Sus scrofa: one gene and its partners. The protein of the gene in region 1 interacts with the protein of each later gene in a pairwise test. Links are inferred from orthologs where the notes say so. Each region holds a gene or a part of one and is shown in the gene's direction. Other genes may lie near its edges.

The links.
Region 2: the proteins of SH3GL2 (region 1) and ATXN2 interact in binary tests that used the Homo sapiens proteins (3 or more experiments, as listed by UniProt). The link is inferred for Sus scrofa from reciprocal best matches to the Homo sapiens genes SH3GL2 and ATXN2.
Region 3: the proteins of SH3GL2 (region 1) and EGFL6 interact in a two-hybrid assay, tested with the Homo sapiens proteins (2 studies listed by BioGRID and IntAct). The link is inferred for Sus scrofa from reciprocal best matches to the Homo sapiens genes SH3GL2 and EGFL6.

What each region holds. Positions count from the first base shown.
Region 1 is NC_010443.5:205,282,424-205,286,712, reverse strand, and holds the start of SH3GL2 (endophilin-A1), read left to right. Parts: upstream 1-1,353; 5' UTR 1,354-1,851; coding exon 1,852-1,896; intron 1,897-4,289. UniProt on the Homo sapiens protein: Implicated in synaptic vesicle endocytosis. May recruit other proteins to membranes with high curvature. Required for BDNF-dependent dendrite outgrowth.
Region 2 is NC_010456.5:32,705,988-32,709,637, reverse strand, and holds part of ATXN2 (ataxin-2), read left to right. Parts: intron 1-2,130; coding exon 2,131-2,328; intron 2,329-3,048; coding exon 3,049-3,156; intron 3,157-3,579; coding exon 3,580-3,650. UniProt on the Homo sapiens protein: Involved in EGFR trafficking, acting as negative regulator of endocytic EGFR internalization at the plasma membrane.
Region 3 is NC_010461.5:10,259,481-10,263,130, forward strand, and holds part of EGFL6 (epidermal growth factor-like protein 6), read left to right. Parts: intron 1-1,284; coding exon 1,285-1,407; intron 1,408-3,650.

The sequences.
Region 1 (4,289 bases):
ATGGGAAAACATTTTCTCTTTTGTACACTAATCAGGAGAGACTAGTTTGCCACAGTAACAACCCTAGATTCGGGGTATTGAAATTACTCAGGTTTATTTCCCACTCATGCTGAATGAAGTTGAAATCAGCTGGGGGCTTTGCCCTGCTTTGTCTTCACTGTGGATTCTGGGTGACAGACTACAAATACCTAAAATACTGTTTGAGAGGGGAGAGCCTCTCATATGAACAGTTAAATCCTCTGCCAAGAGGTGACAGTCAGTTTCCTTCCTGACTCACTAGTTAAAACTTCTCACAGTGGCCTACTTAATTGATTACAGTGCTGGGGTGGGGGGAGTGAGATTCTACCATGAATCTGGAAGGTACATGAACATCTGTAATAACTACCGCACAGCAGATTTTCTCCTTTTGTCTGCTTCCCTTTTCAGGCTGGGTCAGGAGTCCTTGTGCTCTTAATGCTCTGTGATCCACCACTATCTGCTTGATTCTGGCATTATGAGTACAATTCATGTTATCAAGAAAGACTAGTATTGGTAGACCAGCCAGTGGGATGGACAGGATCCTCTTGTATCAGATATTCACCCTGTGCCCAAGCAGCCTGGCTGGAAGGGTGGGTGTGGGGTCTGTGGTTCCTCCCAGGCAGCAGGAGTAGTGGGGGCAGTGCAAGGTACTCCTAGAACTCCCATTCTGCCATGCTGTTTCCTTATTCATTCGCGGCTGTGTCTCTCATCTGGCTTCTGTCACTCTGGTGACTCCTCCTTATACTTTATGGTCCCAACATGGGGTCAGAATTCAAATTCTACTCTATATGCTTCTGAGTCTCAGAAAACGGGGAGTAAACTCTAATTACCAGAATACAGAAGCTGTCCAGCACTGCACTGCTACAAATTCATCTAGTTACATCAGTTTTTTTCTAGCCTAGATTCATATACTTTTTTACATATGTAGTATTTATATAGTTTTGCGTCATGCTTTTCACATTATCTAATGCTTATTTTGGATTGAAAATCCTAAATCCACTGTCAAATTAATACCAAGTTCATATTTGGGCTTTTTAATATCTGTAAACAGGATTATATGCTATAACTGCAGTAATAAATTCTATTTACTGGACCAGCTTCAAGGTTTAAGCATTTTTTTTTCATGTTTTTAAGTCGTTAAATTGTATCAGATCGAGAAAAAACAAAACAATAACCCAGCATTGGTGGCTTTCCCTAACGTTATCTCGGCTTAAGGGATAGTAAAACCAGGACAGAGAAATGTTTTCTGTGACCAAGCAAGCAAGGAGCAATGACTTATTCATTACCCTAGAGAGAACGCCACTCCTCTTTTCCACGCTGCAATGAGGCCAGGCTCAAAGGGCAGGCGGGCTGGCTTCAGGCAGCGCCCTTGTGGCTACCTGGAAGCCCAACAAGTCACCGGAGTTCTGCCGGTGCCTCGGCTGCCAATCTGCAGCCACCGGTGGGCAGTTCGCGGGAGCGCGAGGACACCCCTGCGGCGGGAAACCGGCTTTGGTCCTTAGGGCAGGTAGCCGGCCGGTGCGGCGGAGCCAGGTGCCAGGGGCTGGCGCGGGCGCCCAGGTAGCGCTTGCCGCAGCACCTGCCGCACCAAGCCCGCGCCCGGGGCGGGGCTTCCCGCGTCTCCTTTAAGAGGCCGCAGCACCCGCCCCTGACGTCAGGGTGTCTCTCCGCACGAGCCCTCGTCCCGCGCTGCTCCTCGCCCCCGCGCCCACAGCCTCAGCGGCGGCACGACGAGAGGCGGCCCGGCCAGCGTGCCGCTCAGCTCGGCCTTCCCGCCACGCTCTGCTGCCGCGCGCTGTCCCCACTGCAGCCGGCTGCTCGTCCTCCCAAACCATGTCGGTGGCCGGGCTCAAGAAGCAATTCCACAAAGCCACTCAGGTAAGGCGCGTGACAGGTGCGCCGCGGGGCGGTCCCGGGAAGAGCCGTGAGGGGCGCGCTGGGCACCAGCTGCTGGTCTGGAGCGTGCGGACCCCGGCCTACGCCGAACCCGCCCTGGCCGCGCCTCTCACGGCCCGCCGCTGCGGCCCGGGCATCCCGGGACTGGGAGCCCACACTTCGTCCCCCATCCCCCGGCTCAGGGCGGCGCTGCAGGCATCCGCGGGTCCTCGGTGTCCCGCCTAGACGCCCCGAGCACCGCCCCCGCATCTCCCGGCGCGGGCGCAGCAGGGAGGGGGCCTCAGTACACCAGGCGCTCTGGTGGCGGCGCGGCGGTAGATTATGTAAAGTCGCCTCTTCCCTGGTGACCTTGCGGTGTCGGTGCGCCTAGCTATCCCGGGATGTGCAGGCACGAGCGGTGGCCCGCACTGGGGGTGGCTGCAGAGATGTCTGCCGCCTGCGCTCTTCCCCCGTGGTGTCTGAATCCCTCCTTCCGCGGCGATCGCAGGCTTCCGAGGAATGGGGCTTCCTTTTGGGAAGCTCATGCATTAACTTTTCCTTGGAGAAGTTGGTCTTGAAACTCCTTTGAGGCCAAGGCTTGACCAGCAGCCTGCGCGTTTTTAAACATTTCCCATGGGTTTTGCAACCTTAACATTACCAAATCATTATGTGTTTCAAAGTATTATTTTTAGTGAGCCTTTTACATATTAGATGTGCCCACTTTTATGGGGTTAATAATCTGTGATTACAATAATACTTATTTAATTCGGATGCTAATAATTTGAATCTCATTGGACTCGGTTGAAGAATTTTACATAGAGAAAGTAAGTTAATGCTTATAATGTGACCTATTTCTTATATAATGAGTATAGTTACTATTTTTTTCTTTCTTTCTTTTTTTTTTTTTTTTTTACCATTCGGAAACAATTCCAATTTAAGACATTTTTAGCTAGGGACTTAGTTAATTTCTTGAAATATTTCTCATAATTTGGCCTTAAATATTTTTTTTTCGTAGATTTGCCATAATTACTGCCAGTTTTTCTCATAATATCTCAGAAGTAGTGAGATTTTTTTCCCCCCAGACAACCATAGTAACAGTCCTATTATAAACCCCCTCCAGAAAAGGTGAGGGTTATGTTTTACAGAATTTTGGTTATGTTAGGATGACAGACGCAGCCTGAAGTTCATCCACTGTGTGCCCACATGACATCTCTATCACCACAGACTTACCTTTATAGAATCAGTTATATTTGTCAGCTCGGGCAATGGAGAAAAATAAGATCGTTTTGGTAAAAATACTCATTAGTGTATTTTTGCTTTTCACGTTGGATCTGAGACCTCTCTACCAGAAATATTTGTAAATATAAGGGCGATTTTGGTGTAATTTGGAAGGCCTCTAATAACTTTATACTTCAGATTCCTTCAAGTTTACAGAAGCAGCCAGCGTATATGCGACCTGTAAAATTTCAGGCAGGGCTTCTTTGATGTTACTAGCCTTTTTTATTTCTGGTATTCGTCACTAGTATAAAGCACCCTCCAGCAGTGAATTGACCAACACCTTATCCTTTTCTCACTTTGGTTCTGAAGACTTCCTTTGCACAGCATGGTGCCCTGAAAGGCAATTAGGAACCTTGGCTTTGGAATGGGAAAGGCTAAGGATTGACTCACCTCTGGTGTCCATGACCTTGAGCAAGTTATTTAACTTGTGAATCTGTCCTTTCTAGAATGAGGGTAATAGCCATTTTCTTAGGATTGATGTAAGGATAGGTGAGTTTGTATATAGAAGCTGGAATTCCTAGCTTTGCTACCTTAACAAAAAACAGCTCCATTTTAGCTAAATCCTGAAGTTAAATGCAGCTCTGAAGTTGAGAACAAAAACTTGAATTGTAATATGAAAGAACGTCTGAGAGCCTCAGAGGAGGTCTTCTGTTGATAAGATTAGTATTTATCAGCATCCAGATATAGAATCACTGTCATCTTCCTTTTTTTTTTTTTTTTTAAATCGAAAGGCCTTTCATGTTTAAAGGTGAATTCACGCACCATCTCTTATCCATAACTTAATGTAGCACAATCTTAGAAAATCCAAGGCAAATGTTATTTTTCCTGTGGATGTGTGGGCATTTTCTAGGGCGTGTAAAGCCAGTGCTAATGTTTGCCTGTATCAGAGATGTTAGGGAAAGTAGCCATTTCCTACTTTTTAAACCACCTCTCCCCTGATACAGTTCATGAACTTGATCTTATCTGCAGAGAATACTTTAGACTTAGAATTACTTCCTTTTGAGAGTGGATATGCTAAATTAGATAACCTATGTTTATAAGTGGAAGGGTTTCTCTTCAGGAACATTACTTTTGTGTCTGTGAAACTGTTTTGCTTATGTTGGTGAGGGGTGATATTT
Region 2 (3,650 bases), on another chromosome or scaffold:
GCCTAGTCTACTTTAGGGTCTTGTGATGAAATTCATATGGGGTTCATAAATATGAATATATTTTATTATGGTTTTATAAAGGGCCACTCAAATGGGAGGCAAATACAGTGCATAACAATTTTTGGAGGGGATCACATTTCCTGTCTTCTTAGAAACTTGGTTCATTGATTCCACATTTATTTTGGGCTTACAGGCTTGCAATGCTATGTGTTTCTTTTTTTTTCCCCCATTCATTCATTTGAAACATTTTTATTGAGGTTTTTTTTTTTTTTTTCTGTCTTCTTAGTGCCAAACCCATGGCATATGGAAGTTCCCAGGCTAGGGGTTGAATTGGAGCTGTAGCTGATGGCCTTCGCCACAGCCATAGCAACGCATGATGCAAGCCGCATCTTCGACTCAGCCACAGCTCATGGCAATGTCAGATCCCCAAGCCCACTGAGCAAGGCGAGGGATTGGACCCATGTACTCATGGATACTAGTCTGGTTTGTTAACCACTGAGCCACTATGGAAACTCCCTATTGACACTATTCTGGGCCGAAGTGCGGGATCCAAGCCGAGTCTGCAACCTACACCACAGCTCACGGCAACACCGGATCGTTAACCCACTGAGCAAGGGCAGGGACCAAACTGGCAACCTCATGGTTCCTAGTCGGATTCGTTAACTACTGTGCCATGACGGGAACTCCCTATATATCCTTTTTAAGGATTAACAAACACAAGGGCCCAAGTTTTATCTGTGACCAGCCTGAAGAATGTGCTGACAGCAGCTATAAAAATGTAAAAAGTGTATACTTTGATAGGACCTTACAATTAGGTTAAGATTGCTTTTGCTACTTAATGTTTTGTTTCTATGATAACTAGAGTTGGAGCATGCAGTGACATAATCTATCTTAATCAGTGCATGGAACTTTTAAAAGAAAAATCTTTAAACTGAAACAAAGAAAAATATACCCAACTCCATTAAATGTCTTTAGTTGATATACATTTCTTACTTTCATGTAAGTGTAATTTTATGGTAAATTCCTTTGAACTTTCTATTTTTCTAATTTGGTCTTCAGTTACAAGGAAATTATTCAGTTGACAAAAAATAGTTTCTAAAATCTTAATTTCTTCTGTGTATCAGTAATTATTTGACAGTATTCAGATGATATGGAAATGAATTTTGAAAGTAACAACATGATTATAGAAGTGAAAGAGTAGGGAGTTCCCTTGTGGTGTAGCAGGTTATGGATCCAGTGTTGTCACTGCAGCGGCTCGGGTCATTGCTGTGGTACAGGTTTGATCTCTGCCCAGGGAGCTTCCATATGCTGTGGGCCACCCCACCACCACCACCAAAAAAAAAGAAAGAGGTGAAAGAGTAAAATCATAGTTGTTAATAGATACACCCAGCAGTATTACAGGTTTGCTCTTTATACTAATCAGAAAAGTGACAGTTGTTGAATAATAGTTTCCTTCCATGACCCTTGTTACTTAGGGTGAAGAATCACTAAAGTGAAGCAAATTGAACTATTTCCTCTAAATCTTTGAATCTGAATAGGTTTATATAAAATACGAAACCTATTAGATACTCATTTTGAAGTTATGTGGAATATGAACTCTTCCTTGGATTATCTTCCCCTTTGCCCTAATTTGAGTTTCCAGTTTCCTTAGTTACTGAAGAGTGGATTTTGCTGTGGTAAATAAACTGCTAAAATGTGTTTATTATTTGAAGGAGAAACAAATAAGCCTACGTCTTAGGGATTCTCTTCCCCTCCTCCACACATGTATTTTAAAGAAACAGTCTCACCTTTTAGTAGAGAATGTTGTTATCTTTATCCTAAGAAGTAGCACTTGTCCTTCCTTAGAAATCCAGTTTTTAACTTCATTTAAAACACTGCCTTTTAGAATTCATATATTTAGTTAGGAGGGAAAATGACTGTTGTACATGGTTATTAGTAATTGTTTTCATTCTTCAGATATTTATACTTTGTCGTCACCATTATTCCTGAGACTTTGGAAAAGAAAACAGGTGATGAGATGAGTAATTGGGAGGTCAGATAGAACTGTTACCTAGATCTTTCAGAAAAGCCTTTTTGATGAAGCGACATTTTAGCTGAGGATATAATGGGTAACTTTTCTCTTTCTTGTAGTTCCAAGATTATCCCCTAAAACTCACAGACCCAGGTCTCCCAGACAGAATAGTATTGGAAATACTCCTAGTGGGCCAGTTCTTGCTTCTCCCCAAGCTGGTGTTATTCCAACTGATGCTGTCCCTATGCCTTTACCAGCTGCATCTCCTACGCCTGCCAGTCCTGCATCCAACAGAGCTGTTACCCCATCCATTGAGGGTATGTAAGAAAGGGCTTCTAGATCCATGATGTCATTGGTGAAATTGAATTTTAGACATTTAACATTGTGTGAAAAATGGTTATGTTGTTTTATCCATAGGTAAGTATTTGATGGCATATTAAAAATTTTATGTAAATAAAGTTAGTTGTTTAAGTAATACTGCTAATTTCAGGAGTTCTCATCATGGCTCAGCAGTAATGAACACAACTGGTATCCATGAGGACACAAGTTCGATCTCTGGCCTTTCTCAGTGGGTTAAGGATCTGGTGTTGCTGTGGCTGTGGCGTTGGCTGCCAGCTGCAGCTCCAAGTCAACCCCTGGCCTGGGAACTTCCCATATGTAGCAAGTGTAGCCTGAAAAGAACAATAAAAATAAAACCTGCTAATTTCATATATGTTATTCTGAAAGTTTAAGAGAGTTTACATTCCTGGGTAGTAAATAACAATATAAGTAAAATTTATTAGTGGAATTTCCTGGTGGCCTAGCACTTAAGGATTCGGTGATGTGGCTCAGGTTTCTTCCCTGGCCCAGGAACTTCCATATACCATAGGAGCAGCAAAAAAAAAGAAAAAATATATTTCATATGTCTGCGAAGTAGGAAAGTCTCTGTTTAAGTGGAAATATTCTTTTCCAAAAACACAGGATCAAATGGTTGAGTATTTTCCAATTTTACTTCTATAGCTTCTATTAACCTTTTTATATAAAATACTGTTTTCTAGCTAAAGATTCCAGGCTTCAAGATCAGAGGCAGAACTCTCCTGCAGGAAATAAAGAAAATATGAAGTCCAATGAGACATCACCTAGCTTCCCAAAAGCTGAAAGTAAAGGTTAGAGCTTTAAAAAGTCTTTAGGTATATCTGTAGAAATAGGAAGGAATATGTCTAATCTGATGCCCAGTACATATTACTTTTTTGGTCAACACTTTAATTTCTTAGTGTTGTGATATTTAAGTGCATAATTTGACAAATGTCAAAATCTATAATATATTGAAAGTTTTGTTATTTTGGATAGAGGTTATTTTTCATTTCCACCATCCCATCCTAAAAAAAATCTTAAAGATTAGAAATAAATCTAGGAGTTGTCCTGTAGTACAGTGAATTGAGGATCCAGTGCTGTCACTGCAGCAGCTTGGGTTGCTACTATGACACCAGTTTGATCCCTGGCCTGGGAACTTCCACATGCTATGAGCACAGCCAAAAAAATTAAAAATAGAAAAAGAAATCTAGATCTAATACTTCATATTTTTACAGGTATATCACCAGTTGTTTCTGAACATAGAAAACAGATTGATGATTTAAAGAAATTTAAGAATGATTTTAGG
Region 3 (3,650 bases), on another chromosome or scaffold:
GCGACAAACATGTGTGCATGACGTGGAAAGCTAACAGTGGGGAAAAGGCAGGATTTCTCTCAACCCTCCACTAGAGCTGCCCAGGATGTGTCCTATGTAATCATGCTGGGACAGCACTTGGTTCCTGGGTTTTGAACCATCTTACATCTTCCCTCAAACACAAAGGCCATCTGAGACCAGCTCATAAAATCCACATTTCTCGTGAGCTGGGAGCGTAGGCGCTGCTGCAGACCCCTCCAGCTCTGTCACCCAGCCAGGCCATGTCACTGAGTAGGAGCCCGTTTCCCGACACCTAAAGGGAGGGACCCACAGGACAGGGTGAGAATCCATGTGGAGAGCTTCCAGAGGAAACAAATCTTGGCAATTTGCAAAGTGATTAAGATGAGCACTTGAGTCCCCCTGTGGCTCAGTCAAAAACAATACAGAAACAGATCACGGACGTGGAAGACAGACTTGCATTTGCAGGTGGGGGCGGTGGGGTTGGGGAGGGCCTAGGAGTCTGGGGTTAGTAGATGCAAACTATTGCATTTGGAATGGATAAGCAATGTATAGTACAGGGAACTATATCCAGTCACTTGGAACATGATGCAGGATAATGTGAGAAAAAGAATGTGTATATATGTATAGCTGGGTCACTTTGCTGTACAGCAGAAATTGGCAGAACATTGTAAATCATCTATAAAAAAATAATAGTCTGCTTTGTGTGCCTGTGATAAGTATAGACAGAAAGTGGGGTGCCAATGAAGGCCAGGAAAGCTCTTGTCTGGGTGGAATCTGGCAAACTTCCCTAGTGTAAAGCCAGCAGGCGAGCTCAGACCAGCCTGACCCTGCTCCTGGCAGTCTAGGAAAAAAATGCTCCACTTTTTCAGCTGACGTCAGTGGTTCCAAGCCCATCTTGTTCCTTATTGCTTAGGAGTTCCCAGCCCTTCCATGCATAGAGTTTAATTTCTGATATTATTATTGAGTTCTTAGTTAGACCAGTGAAAACGTTTAAGACATAAAAGCTGAACATCTTATGAGAGGTCAGTCATATTGATAAGCAGGAGATGAGGTCGCTGTGGGGGAGGCAAGAGGTACCTGGCCCCTACATCCTGGGTGGCAGGCAAAGCCAGGACTCTGGGCCAAGGCACCGGGAGTCTTCAGTGCCTCTCAGTTCCCAGGCCACACAGGGTTTGCTGGCCATGTGGAGTGGTTGGCCCTGGGCTGCTCAAGTTCAAGGGGTAGTCTTTCAGCAAGTGCTCTTACCACAAGGCACTGTGTTCACGGGACTGTTCACATTTTTAGATGTCAATGAATGCGCTGCGAATACCCACACGTGCAGCCTCCATGCCACTTGCCTCAATATCCTAGGATCCTTCAAGTGTAAGTGCAAGCAGGGATATAAAGGCAGTGGACTTCAGTGTTCTGGTAAGTACACTTGGCCGTGGTGTCTGAGCTATTCCCATAAAGCCTTCTCTCCACGTCTCCTTCCTCCCTTCTTTCTCCCTCCCACTCTGTGTGTCTGGCGTCATGGGGGTGGGGAGGTGCACACGTACAGTGTTTAGAAACTTAACTCTGCCTCAGACTTGTCTTCTCAGCTAACCAGACCACATCTCCAATTCTCACGCACGTTGTAAGTATGACACTTAAAGTAAACCAGGGTGCTGGAGATTTTTCTGGTCGCAACATACTTTCAAATACTGAAAATAAGATTGGAGCACAAATGACACTGAGCAGGTGTATTGGTCAGGGTAGGCTAGGTTACGGTGCAGTAACAAGCAGTCCTGAAATGTCAGTGGCTTAGAATCACAGGAGGTTTTTCTGTGCATCAGGATTTTTTCCAGAATGCACAACTGACTCAAAGTATGATGGCACTGATGTCATTTTATCATCATCCTCAAGCCTCTTTTCACTTTTTTTGGTATATAGCAAAGAGTCCTGGTATTCTGGCTGGTGAATTCCTTCATGCTTAGGTGGCAAACTCTGAAATTGATAAACCAAAGGTACAATAAGAAAATGTCACTGCTCTTAACAGCTATAGCAACAATCACAGTCTCCTTCTCATGCTCTATCCGGAGAGAGTTGTCAGGGCGTTTCTTCCCCATGGAGTCACTCAGGGACCCAGGCTGACCGAGACCCCACCATCTTATGGTACCATGGTGTCAATCCGAGGCCTTAGGGTTTGTCACGGTAGGGAAAGAAGCATGGACAGTCACACCCCAGCTCTTATTTAATTCACTTTGGAAGCAGGGACAAAAATACATACAATCCCGCTATGTGTCCCGAAAGAGAAGCAAACTAGAAATGATGCTGAGCGCCTGGAATGTCGACCCAGACAAGGCAGCAGCAATTGCAGTGCTGCCACTCCCCTGGCCAGTAGTGTCCCGCTGTTTTTAGTCACCCAGGTTATCCTCTGAACATGTGCCTTTTAGCACTGGCCCATCACGTGCTAAGGTTTATTGACTGCCCTGACCCAATTCTCCTAGACCCTTAGCGGAGTTCCCACAAGTTCCAACAAATACAGCTGCAGGTTGTCCTTTGACCTGTATCACATCCCATGCCCCCATCTGTCTGATGCTCTCGGTGGCTCAGCAGAGCGGCCCCTCCCTGATGACAAAAATGAATGGTCTGCGCCAGGACAGACACTGAGCATCATACCCATCAAAGGTTCCTCATCCCCCAGCGGGCTGGGGCAGATGGCGCTGGGCGAGAGGATGTTTGAAAGAATACAGGCAAAGAAAATGAGCCTGGAAATCACATTCCATGAGGACCTGCCCAAAGATCTGGGCAGAATTTAGCCTGGAAGAAGAAAACAGTGTGGGAAAGCACGAATTGTGCTAGTAAATATTTTAAGGAAGGCAAAGAAAAATGGCTTCCCAAAGCCAACCAACGCCAATGGGTAGGGCTGTGTTCTCTCTTAAAAATGCACACCAGGGAGTTCCTGCCATGACCCACTGAGTTAGGAATCTGACTGCAGCGGCTCAGGCCTCTGTGGAGGCATGGGTTCAATCCCCAGCCCGGCACAGCAGGTTGAAGGATCCCAACTAGGGATGGAGTTCCTGTTGTGGCTCAGTGGGTTAAGAACCTGACTAGTATCCATGAGGATGCGGGTTCGAGCCCTGGCCTCACTCAGTGGGTTAAGGATCTGGCATTGCCATGAGCTATGGTGTAGGTCACAGACGTGGCTCAGATCTGGTGTTGTCGTGCCTGTGGTGTAGGCCAGCAGCTGAAGCTCCACTTTCACCCCTAGCCTGGGAACCTCCATATGCCGTGGGTGTGGCCATAAGAAAAATGCACCCCAGGTATCTAAGAGTGGAGTAGGAAACCCCAGGGTTTGGGTATGGATTCCTGCCTTTGGCTGGATGGGATTCAGTGGCTACTCCGGCAGCTCGATGCTGCAGTTCTGTCCCTCTGTGTAGATGTGCCCATATGTCCAGAAATTTGATTCTAAGAAAGAGATGGGCTGCCGGTGCAGGGCTGTGCATGGGTGGGGTGGGGGAAAGGTGCTGTCATCTTGAGAGACCCTCAGGGAGGAACTGGAACAAATCAGCTTTCCATATAGGATCAGTGGTCAAGGCTTCCTTCACGCCTCCAAGTTTGCAGATGTCCCTTGCAGCCTTGCTTGTCTCAGGCTGTGTGGTGTAACGGTCACCAGCTCTGGCTCAGGAGCT